Linked DNA regions of Ovis aries. The protein of the gene in region 2 purifies or fractionates together with the protein of the main gene of each other region. This does not show direct contact. Links are inferred from orthologs where the notes say so. Each region holds a gene or a part of one and is shown on either strand. Other genes may lie near its edges.

Region 1 (5,787 bases), about 25 Mb from region 2:
GCACATGACTCAAACCCATTAAAAGTGAATCTAGTACATATTGTGTGTGGCTTCTTTCTTGGGTCTCCTTTCCCTTATTCACAGAATGCTGTTTAGATTATATTAATATTAGTCATATCTTTGCCACTGATTTGGAAAGATTTATTTTCTTGGTACCTTATAGTATATTATGGTTCCTGGTAAAGTAGGAACATTGGTTCTTAACCTAAATATAATGTAAGCCGTGGCTTCTTGCCCCCCCAAAATAATGTTCCATCAGAACCTAGGTGTAAGGTTGGAGGGCTGCAAAAGTTAACCAGGCATTTTGCCTTCAGGAGCTCCAGGGGGTAAGGGGCAGCTGCCAGGTAAACGAGCAATGCCAGGAGGTTTCTGCTGAGAAAAGAATGAAGTACAGGGACCCGGTCACAGAGGCATGAGTTCTGGTTTTTCAGGGAAGAGGAGGAAGAGCCAGGAAGGCCTTTCATGGGAGATGACCTCAGAGGCTGGTTTTGGGAGTCAAAGACAGCAAGAGTGCATTCCACGAAGTCACAGAAAGCCTGGTCATGCTTGAGAACAGTAGATGGAAGTTTGGAGAGAAGCCAATTAAACAGCAGTCCTGGGACACCAGACTCAGAGCCACTCAGCTAAAGAAGTTTCATTTCAGTTGCTCAGTCATGTTTGACTCTTTGCGACCCCATGGACGCACGGCAGGCTTCCCTGTCCATCGCCAACTCCCAAAGCTTACTCAAACTCATGTCCATCAAGTCAGTGATGCCATCCAACCATCTCATCCTCTGTCATCTCATCCCCTTCTCCTCCTGCCTTCAGTCTTTCCCAGCGTCAGGGTCTTTTCCAATGAAAAGAACTCTGCATCAAGTGGCCAGAGTATTGGAGTTTCAGCTTCAGCATCAGTCCTTCCAATGAATATTCAGGACTGATTTCCTTTAGGATGGACTGGTTTGATCTTGCAGTCCAAAGGACTCTCAAGAGTCTTCTCCAACACCACAGTTTAAAAGCATCAATTCTTCGGCACTCACCTTTCTTTATAGTCCAACTCTCACATCCATACATGACTACTGGAAAAACCATAGCTTTGACTAGATGGACCTTTGTAGGCAAAGCAATGTCTCTGTTTTTTAACATGCTATCTAGATTGGTCATAGTTTTTCTTCCAAGAAGCAAACGTCTTTTAATTTCATGGCTGCAGTCACCATCTGCAGTGATTTTGGAGCCCAAGAAGATAAAGTCTCACTGTTTCCATTGTTTCCCCATCTATTTGCCATGAAGTGATGGGACCAGATGCCATGATCTTTGTTTTCTGAATGTTGAGTTTTAAGGCAAATTTTTCACTCTCCTTTCCACTTTCATCAAGAGGCTCTTTAGTTCTTCACCTTCTGCCATAAGGGTGGTGTCATCTGCATATCTGAGGTTATTGATATTTCTCCTGGCAATCTTGATTCCAGCTTGTGCTTCATCCAGCCCGCATTTCGCACGATGTACTCTGCATAGAAGTTAAATAAGCAGGGTGACAATATACAGCCTTGACTTACTCCTTTCCCAATTTGGAACAAGTCTGTTGTTCCATGTCCAGGTCTAACTGTTGCTTCTTGACCTGCATACAGATTTCTCAGAGACAGGTAAGGTGGTCTGGTATTCCCATCTCTCAGAATTTTCCACAGTTTGTTGTGATCCACATAGTCAAAGGCTTTGGTGTAGTCAATAAAGCAAAAGTAGATGTTTTTCTGGAACTCTCTTGCTTTTTCCATGATCCAGCGGATGTTGGCAATTTGATCTCTGGTTCCTCTGCCTTTTCTAAATCCAGCTTGAACATCTGGAAGTTCATAGTTCACATACTGTTGAAGCCTGGCTTGGAGAATTTTGAGCATTCCTTTGCTAGCGTGTGAGGTGAGTGCAGTTGTGCAGTAGTTTGAACATTCTTTGGGACTGGAATGAAAACAGCTTTTCCAGTCCGGTGGCCACTGCTGAGTTTTCCAAATTTGCTAGCATATTGAGTGCAGCACTTTCATAGCATCATCTTTCAGGATTTGAAATTCCATCCCCTCCACTAGCTTTGTTCGTAGTGATGCTTCCTAAGGCCCACTTGATTTCCCATTTCAGGATTCCTAAACTTCTTTAGTTCCTGAAGATTCCTGTTGCTGCAGAACTAAAGTTTAGGAATCAGATTCCAAGCCTCCCTGGGAGGCTACACCGGAGGCCACCAGCAGAGGGCAGGGTCCTGCCCACTGTGCCTTCTGGTCTGCAAGGCGGCGGCGCGGAAGCACTTCCCGGCTGTGGGGCGGGACTTCCGGCGGCGGTCCCAGATCTAGGGGGCGCAGCGGCAAGGAGTTGTCCTTCTAAGCGAGAGTTGTATTTCGAATCTGCACGTGTTCGCCACCGCCTCCGCTGCCAAAATGTTCCAGCTGCTGCGCTGCGTGCCCCGCGTCCTGGGTTCTGCCGTCGCTGGTCTCCGCGCCGCCGCACCCTCCCTGCCGCTTCTGCAGCCCGCGTCCCGGCCATGCGCCCGGCCCTTCGGGCTGCTGAGCGTGCGCGCGGGGTCGGTTCAGCTGCCCGGCCTCCTGAAGCCTCGGGGGCCCTGCGCTTGCGGCTGCGGCTGTAGCGGACTGCACACCGAAGGTGAGACTCATGCACGTGGGCCGGGGGCGTGAGGGGCGTGGGCCTAGGTGGGGCGGGGTGTTAGGGGCTGGGAGGTGTAGACCACCTGAATGGACAGTCCGGAGCCGCTCCTGAGGTCCGGAACATTCTCCCAGTGATGGTCGACCTGCTAGTTAAACCCACGCGTAGTAACATTTCCCGTCCTCCCCCACCCCTGTTTGACTGCGGGGATAGATACTGTAAAGTCCTGGAGGCCGGCTTTACCTCAGTCTCTCGAAAATGGAACTTTGCGAAAGCCCAAGGTCGCGGTTAGAAGTAGCGTGATGTTTCTTGGCAAGTGAAAGGGTAGTGGCGATTTTTTTTTTTTTTTTTTTTGCTTTATTTTGAAACGTCGTGAGAAGTTCATTATTCGGGATCACTTTCCTAGAATCCATGCTCAGCTTCCCACTGATAGCTTACATTTTTACAGATGAAGGAATTGAGGTTTAATGGATATGAGTTGGGCTAAGTCCACAGAGCCACCATTAATAGAAGTATTAGGAAAAAACAGGCTAAGTCCTGGTCTTTGCTTGTAGTAACGGGGTCATTTTCCATTTTAGACTAATTGGCTCTTTCTGTAACTTATTTCCATTGTAGGAGACAAAGCTTTCGTTGACTTCCTCAGCGATGAGATCAAGGAGGAAAAGAAGATACAGAAATATAAGTCTCTCCCCAAAATGTCAGGAGGTTGGGAATTGGAAGTGAATGGGACGGAAGCCAAATTAGTGCGGAAAGTTGCTGGAGAAAAGTAAGTACCAGGGGCCTATGGAGCCCAGGGGACCACATCCATAAACCTGCAGGACCTGCTGTGAGGTATCCACAACAACTTTTAGTTAAGACAGGTGCTTAACTGACTCCTGGTTTCCCAGAGATGGTATGATTCGTTTGGATAACTTCTTAGGCTCCTTTTTGCTTATTCACTGCACAGTAATGTGCTGTGGTGGTTAACAAGGAGACAGTAAGCTAGTAGCGGGGTTCCCCAGTGGCTTGGCGTCCAGAACCCACCTGCCAAAGGAGGAGGTGTGAGTCTGAAATGGCAACCCACTCCAGTATTCTTGACTGGAAAATCCAATGGACAGAGGAGCCTGGCAGGGAGTCCATGGGGTTGCAGAGTCAGACACGACTGAGTGCCTGAACATCACCCCAGTAGCACTGAAGCCAAGCCACTGGGAGTCTTCTGGACCAGTAGAGGCAGCAGTCACTGAGCCCTTCCTGGTGAGTGAGGCTGTGCCTTGCCCACAACTAGGCATGCAAATTCAGAGATTCCGGCACTGCCCACAGAATCGGATTTACTCTGCTGGGTCTACTACCCTCAGGCTCTGGCTGAGGAAAATAAAGCCCCTGTTCTGTTTACAGTTGAGAAAGCAAGATAATTAACAGGGTGGGGTTGCAGTATAGTTTTTCATTAGAAAAGAGGGATGCTTTTGGCCTGCTTAAGCTGTTTTAAATCCACGGTCCACTTTGAAGTTTTGCATGCGCTGTGAAGCAGCAGGCTGGTGCTTTTGCCTAGTATTGTAGTGCTTTCCCCGTCATAGATCAATTGTGTGGTCTGTAACGTGACCCAAACCACTCTCCTAGGCGAAGTTATAGGCAGTTTGGGACCATTATAATGTGCTGCTGAACATAGCTGCATTTCTCTGTCCAGGGGTCAGTTTGGTCCACACTGTCACAGCTTAGACAGATTTTGTGCCTGTACATCAAACTTCTGTCTGTCAAGGTGCCAGTTACCATGGCTTCAGAGGGCAGCGTTGTCTGCAACCTAGCAGTGCTCGTTCCAAGTGTCACTCAATTTTCAGTTCAAATTTTGGAATATGATATGTCAGGTGAAGATTCTTGCAAGTTAAAATTGTCATTAGGTGGTGTTTGTGGCCTGCCTTGTCATTTATTAAACTTCCTACATCTGCTCTGAAGAATAAAACTGTCCAGCAGCATATTCTTTTTTTTTTTTTGCCACACTGCTTGTGGGAATCTTAGTTCCCTGACCGGGGATCAAACCCAGGCCATGGCAGTGAACACACCAAGTCCTAACCCCTGGCCCACCAGAGAACTCCTCTATGTGGTGTCCTTTGTGAGGCCTCCCCTTCCTGGGGCCAGGGCTACTCTCCATCCTCAGCTGATGCCACAACCCTCCGGTGCTCCTTCTCTTCCTCTCAGGCAGATTTTCTTCTAATGGAGGAAGATTTTTAAAGGAGGCTCCTGGGACTTAGTGGTGGTCCAGTGGTTAAACCTCTCCTCTCCCAGTGCAGGGGACCTGGGTTCAATCCCCGATCAGGGAACTAAAATACCACACATAGCAACAAAGGTCACATGCACCTCGCAACCAAGACCCAGCCCAGCCAAGTACATTTTATTTTCTTAAAGGAGGCTTTTGGAACTTTGTGGTGGTCAAAGTGTCTGCTCCCAGCGCAGAGGACCTGGGTTCAATCCCTGGTCAGGGAACTAAGATCTCGCATGTAGCAACTGAGCGATCCCATACATAACAATGGTCATGCGTACCTCGCAACCAAGACCCTGTGCAGCCAAGTACATTTATTGTTTTAGAGGAGGCTTCTAGCCCATGCCCACAGCTTCTCAGCTGCTCACCACCACTGGGAGGTGCCCTGGAAAGACAAGAGTGGCGGTGTCAGCTGACTGTGGCTATAAGGTTGACAGAGAGCCCCGGATAGTGGCCTGATGGCAGAAGCACCAACACACAACTGTATTTGGCTGAGGAAATAGTGCCTAATTGACTTCCAGCAGCCAACACATAGTAGGCCCACTTCAGACCTGCTGAATCCAACTGTGGATGGGATGCAGGCAAATCAGATGTAAAGCCGGCTGAGATACATTGTTTCAACAGCATTTTTAACTGTAGCAAGCCGTAGTACTCAGCTACTCAGTTAAAAAGACATCTTCATTGTGCTCTTTGGTTGCCTTTCTAGGATCACTGTCACTTTCAACATTAACAATAGCATCCCACCTGCTTTCGGTGGTGAGGAGGAAGAACCCTCCCAAGGGCAGAAGGCTGAGGAGCAGGAGGTAAGTTTCTAACACTGTAACCAGCCTGTACCCACCTATTTCTGACAGGCTTAGGGAAGGAGCATTGGTTTTTGTTTTGTTTAAATTCTAACGCCAGGAGAGAGGGCAAAGGCAGCCATCCTTGGGCCTTTACTTGCA
Region 2 (5,753 bases):
CACCTCTGTTTACACTAGCAAGAAAAGGAGACTTTGCTCACATGCCTGGGAAGACCTGCAGCATGAGGAGACACCCCCACAGGCCAGCCCTGACTAGAGAGGCCCCGGAACTCACCTCTGTGCAGGTCTCCGCTGCGTGTCAATCTGTGAGGTGACGAGCTGAATGTTCATGGGGCGGCCTATGGCAGAGAACACAAGAGGGCCAGGTCCTATTAGAGGACTCTGAAGCCTGCTAGGGGTAGCACCCTGGCCTCCATGCAAGCACTGGAAAGGGACACTGCATCTTGTTGCTCCCGACGAGAGGACAGCCTGGAAATGCTGGTGGGAGAACAGCCCCACCAGCGCCTCCTCGCTCCTTCTCATCCAGTGCAGGTGGGTGTCTGTCGGGCGTCCAGGGTGCCCAGGAGCAGAAAGGTACCTTTGTCTTTACGACTACAGCCCCGCACTCAAGAGTTGTACTATGGTGGTTCTGAGAAGGCTTCACAGAAGTGAATCTTCCGGAAGGAGCTGAAGGAGGGGAGGGACGTAGCTTGCTGGATGGGGATTCACAAGAGGTTGGTCCAGATGTGGGGGGCAGCATGAGAGGTGGCAGTGTGGAAGAGAGACAAAGGGGCGAACACAAAGTGTCCTCAAGCAGAGGGGACCCTACTCTTGCAGGGATGGGGCCAGCCTCTGGCTCCGCAAACTAGCTACAGCGCTGCAGCCTTTCTGGGTCCAATCCCAAACGCACCATCCAAAGGAACGCCGTTGTACTGTTTCATAGCTTTTAGTGCATCTGCCTTCCGCTCAAAGTGCACGTCAGCTGTTCCTAAACTGCGGCCAGATCGGTCGTAGTGCACAGCCGCCTTCTTCAGAGTTCCAAATTCAGCAAAGAGCTCCTGAGAGTCAGAAAGAGCAGTTGTTAGCACAGCAATTTTTCTTCTGGTGGCCCAGGGACACTCCCTGGAAGTGTAAACTGCTTTGGGGTATTTCCCTGGGAGGAAGACATACACGTGGTGGGGCAGGGAAGTGGCGGTGGGACCTGGGGTATGGGATGGGACAGGTGGGACAGCAATTTCCCGGAGCAGCTGGGCCCGAGGGCTCCTGCCCACTTGGGAACCTGACATCTATACCACGATGCAGGTGAAGGATCACAAAGCCCACCAATGAAGGGCAAAGATTTAGTTGCTATCTTCTTCAACAAAGGAATATTTACAACACACCCAAGGACTGTGCCAAGAAGCAGCCAAGGCCAAGATCACAGAGCAAGGGGCTCTATCCACTTGTGGACCAGCTCCAAGGGCCCTCTGACTGGGAGCCCTGACCCAGCCCCTCCCCCAGGGCAGATTCTGGCTCACCTTTCCCTCTCCTCCTACTCAAGCCTGCCGCAAAGCCTGAAGTCAAGCGCTGCCATGGAAACTGCCCTGACCTCAGGCAGGCTGGGAGTTGGAGAGGGAACCCAGAGTGTGGGGCTACTCCGGCCGCAGGCACACAGCGGGAAGTGGAGTTCACCAAAAGCGGTTTCCAGTGGATGCCAGAAACCACCTTAAAAAAAGTGTTGAGACACTGTGAGTGCTCACTGGCCTTGCTCTGTCCTCCCAAGGCAAAGTAAATGGCTGGGCTCTGGGAAATTGAACCCAGGAAGGCCCAGTACCCTGCCCAGCCATCTCCTGGACTGACCCCCAAGATGTCATTACTTAACCATTTTAGGCAGCAAATTTAAAGGCCTTTAGGGTTCAACCGAAAAAAAAAAAGAAAGAAAGAAAAGGAAAAAAAGAAAAAGGGGAGGAAAGAGAGGCAAAAAAAAAGAGGCTTCAACCAAAGATGTTTGAGAATCATGTCACTAACAAAACCCAGGGGGTGAGGGTAAGTGAGAAGACAGGGGATGAAATTCCAAGTAAGACATGGGGCTTAAGGCAAATGGAGCCAGAGCGGCGCTGGCACCATCCTGCTCTGTGCTATGTCAGTTCTACAAAGGAAGTGCTTTCTCCTCCCAACAAACCATTAAAACAAGCAAAACGTAAAGAAAACAAGTAGCCTAGCTCTTCCAGGAACAGAATCGGAGCACAGTCAACCAAGCTTCTGCCAGAAGAGCTTGGGCAGAGTGCCTTCATCTACAAAACACGTTTTAGCAAGGAAGAACAGCAGCGCCCCAGACTAAGCTGGGGCCTTGTCTTCCAGCACAAACTGACACATTGGTCAGGCTTTCAACTCTAGCTCAACCTCTGCTCTGCATTCCTGGAGCCCATCACAGGGAACAGTGGCTGGCCTTTCGGTGCCTGGGAGAGCTTGTCGTCCCAAGGTGTGCGTGTGGGGGATTCTGGGCCAAGTCCCAAACGCCACAACCGATTCCGTGCGGAGTGACCCGCCCACCAAGAAACTCCAGTCCCTTACCTGAATATCAGCGTCGGACACTCCAAAATCCAGATTTGACACCAGCAGTTTCCCACCGGTCTCCACGCCGGCACCACCCCCAAAACCGCTATCGAAAAGGTCATGCTGCCATTTGTCAGGAAGTTGTTTCGGCTGAGGGAAAAGAAAACACAAGAACAGAAAAAGGTCTGTGAGTCTCACTCCAGGGCTCGCCCTCGCCCTCACGGCCACAGCAAGAGCCTCCCCCCATCTCGGCGGGGAGGCAGGCGCTGAGAGAGACCCGCAGCCTCCGCTTCACGCCCGCGTCAGGCCGTACCCGGCCGCCGCGGCCACACGTCCCGCAACTTCTCGGTTCCCTTCAACCAACTTCCCGCCACCGGGGCGGCCGCGCCAACGGCCCCTCAGCCCCCAGCGCCGTGAGGCCGGGCGCCCTGTTAAGACAAAGGCCGCCAGGGTCTCCGCCTTGGTGCCCGGCAGGCGAGCGACCTTCCCGCCCGCCGAACCGGCCGGCGCCCGCGCCCCCCGGCCCAGTCGGTCAGTCGGTCGGCCGCCCGGACGGCCCGCCGGTCGCCCGTGCGCCGCCCTGCCGGTTCGCTCCCTCGCCGCGGCCCGCCACCCGGTCTCCACACTCACCCTGCTGTAGGGCGCCGGCCGGTTCCTGCCGCCGCCGCCCGCCGCGCCGCGGGCGATGGCCGGCCGATTCCGAATGGGTCCGCCGCCTCGGTTCACTCGCGCGGCGGCCTGGGCTCCGCCGCCGCGGCCACCCTGGGAGCCGGCCCGGCCGCGGCCCCTGCCCCCGCCGCGGCCGCCTCGCTGGCTCCGGTTCAGCTTAATGATGTCGTCCAGAGACATATCCATTTTGTCGGCCATGGCGGGCGCGGAATCGGCCTCGGCTCGAGCCCGCGCGTCAGCACGTCGGCGCGTCACTTCCAGCGCCGCTCGCGGGTTTTCCGGTGCCGCGTCCTCAGAGCGACCGCGGATTGGCTGCGGGCCTTCGGCGTCTCAGGGGGCGAGGTCGCGCGTGCGCGCTGAACCAAGGAGCTCGGCGGGCGCCTCTGAGAAGTGCCGAGCCGCGGCCACAGGCGTTTATATACCTTCCCGCGCGGGGCCGGCACTGCCAACTGAAGGCGGGTGGTGCGGCGCGCGATTAGATCGGCGGGGGCGCGGCCGTTGGGGGCGTGGCCGAGCGTGGCGCCTCTCCCTCGCCCCTCCCCCACCGCACCGGGAACCCGCACCCTAGTCCAGCGGCGGGAGTGAGTGCGGCCCGCGCCAGGGTTGTTTCCGGGGTGACCTCGTAGGGAGCGGGCTTGGGTCTCCATCTCTCAGCCCCGTCAGCCCTTTCGGAAGTAGCGCACGGCGCGTTTCTGCGGTTGTTAAAGAAAGCCGACGAGCCCTTCTGCGGACGCCGAGGCAGAAGTGCGGTGTTGGCGAAGGACCAACACCGGTCCTCCCGGTCTTCCCGAGGACCCGGCCCCCGCCCCAGTCCCCTTGCAGACAGCCTCTTACTGCCTTTCGGCGGCCACTGTTGCCTACGCTCGACCCTCGGGGCGACGCCCCTTCTTTGGCTTCCAGGTGCCGTAGCTCTGCAGACTCAGCACAGCCGGGTGGTCTCTTCCCTCCTCGCAGGCTCCTCGCGCCATGAAGGTGAAGATCAAATGCTGGAACGGCGTGGCCACTTGGCTCTGGGTAGCCAACGACGAGAACTGCGGCATCTGCCGGATGGCCTTCAATGGCTGCTGCCCGGACTGTGAGTGTCCCCTGCCCGCTGTCTCTCGAGCTGTGCCTATCATCTGGCCTTGGCGTGTCCCCAGAAGTACTCGCAGAGCGTTTCTGGGGTTTGGTTTCCTCTTCCCAAGAAAAGTTGACAGAGAAAAGCCAGGCTATTTGGGCCCATATTTGTACAAAGATCCCGTCAAAAGTTTTGTAAGGAAAAGAGCACAGTTTCCTATCCTGATAAAAGTCACTATGAGACCCGTGGAACACAAAAATGTGTTAAGACATTGTATTTGAAAATTTCAAGTCAACAAAAAATTGTGACGTTACAAGGTTTCCCCCTCAATCCAGCACATAAATGATGAATAACACGTTTTCATATCTGGCTGTTTTTGCCCAGCTGTTTTAAGGTAAATGCTAAATATCTGCTGCATTGTCAGGCGGGTTCCTTATCACTGAGCCACCAGGGAAGCCGCAGCAAATGCTAAATGTGATGTCCTATATCAGTGCTGACTTTTACCAGCACTGTTGTCACTTTAGACAATATACTGCCTTACTGTTGCCGGTCATTCCTAGTCCTTGTTCAGGTTTCTTTAGTTGTCCTCAAATGTCTTTTTATTGTTGGGTGGTGTGAGCCAAGACCCAAGGTGTGATCACTTTTTCCCTTCACTACTTAATCTAGAATAGTTTTGCTTCAACTTCTCTATCGCGTTTTAGACATCAAATTATTTGTTTTTATTTTTCTTTATTTATTTTTGGCTGCTTAGGGACCTTCATTGCATTGAGCAGGCTTCTCTCCAGTTGTGTTGCATGGGCTCAGTTGTCTTGTATCATGTGGGATTTTAGTTCCTAGACCAGGGATCAAACCCACATCCCCTGCATTGGAGGGCAGATTCTTAACCACTGGACCACCAGGGAATTCCCCGTAGACATCTGATTTCTTTCAGAACATGTTGTCTTGCAAAATGCCTGACCTCAGGTTTTATCAGATTTCATCTTTGCGGTGTCTTTTGCATTGTTCCTTTGTCCCCAGTGTGTTCTGTGAAGCGAAAGTATTTGGGTCAAAAGGAGATTTTTGCACCAGTGAATTTAGTTTTTAGTCAGACACAAGTGAACCAGAAGCAGTAGGAAGGGTCTTAAGGCTTTGCCTAGGGGACGAAGGTGTTCCCGAGAGAGAAGTGAGATTTGGGGACCACTGAGAAGTCAATGACCAGGCCTGTCCTGTGGGGCTGTGAACATCAAAATAGTACTAGATCTTTGCTTCTTACAGTGAAATTCAAATAATTGATTTTAGTGCAAATATAATTTTATCCTAGTCTTAAATCTTTACATCTGGAAGAGGAAATCTCATCACCCATGGGCTAATCCATCCTGATTTAATCAGGCTGCGATATAATCTTAGGAAATCAGTGATTGGTTCTACTTGATGAGGTTTTTTTGTTGTTGTTTTTTATTTTTTTTTTTATTTATTTTTTTATTTTTTTATTTTTTAAATTTTAAAATCTTTAATTCTTACATGCATTCCCAAACATGAACCCCCCTCCCATACTTGATGAGGTTTTATGTAAAGGGAGAGAGAATAGAAGCACAAGGTCTGGCTTGGTTTAATCCGTTTAAAACCGCCCTTTTTTTTTTTGGTTCAGTTGGGTCTTGTTACTACATGCAGGCTTTTTCTAGTTGAGGCAGCA

Evidence for each region. The genes of interacting proteins can lie anywhere in the genome.
Region 1: the proteins of ALYREF (region 2) and C1QBP purify together in Homo sapiens (affinity purification with mass spectrometry; 3 studies listed by BioGRID and IntAct, with this or other methods). This does not show direct contact. The link is inferred for Ovis aries from reciprocal best matches to the Homo sapiens genes ALYREF and C1QBP.

Annotation. Positions count from the first base shown.
Region 1 is NC_056064.1:25,997,106-26,002,892, forward strand, and holds the start of C1QBP (complement component 1 Q subcomponent-binding protein, mitochondrial), read left to right. Parts: upstream 1-2,289; 5' UTR 2,290-2,390; coding exon 2,391-2,613; intron 2,614-3,228; coding exon 3,229-3,379; intron 3,380-5,552; coding exon 5,553-5,649; intron 5,650-5,787.
Region 2 is NC_056064.1:50,496,881-50,502,633, reverse strand, and holds the start of ALYREF (THO complex subunit 4), read right to left. Parts: upstream 3,255-5,753; 5' UTR 3,223-3,254; coding exon 2,986-3,222; intron 2,506-2,985; coding exon 2,374-2,505; intron 879-2,373; coding exon 731-878; intron 180-730; coding exon 116-179; intron 15-115; coding exon 1-14. Other genes in the region: ANAPC11 (anaphase-promoting complex subunit 11), read left to right, coding at 3,991-4,099. UniProt on the Homo sapiens protein: Functions as an mRNA export adapter; component of the transcription/export (TREX) complex which is thought to couple mRNA transcription, processing and nuclear export, and specifically associates with spliced mRNA and not with unspliced pre-mRNA.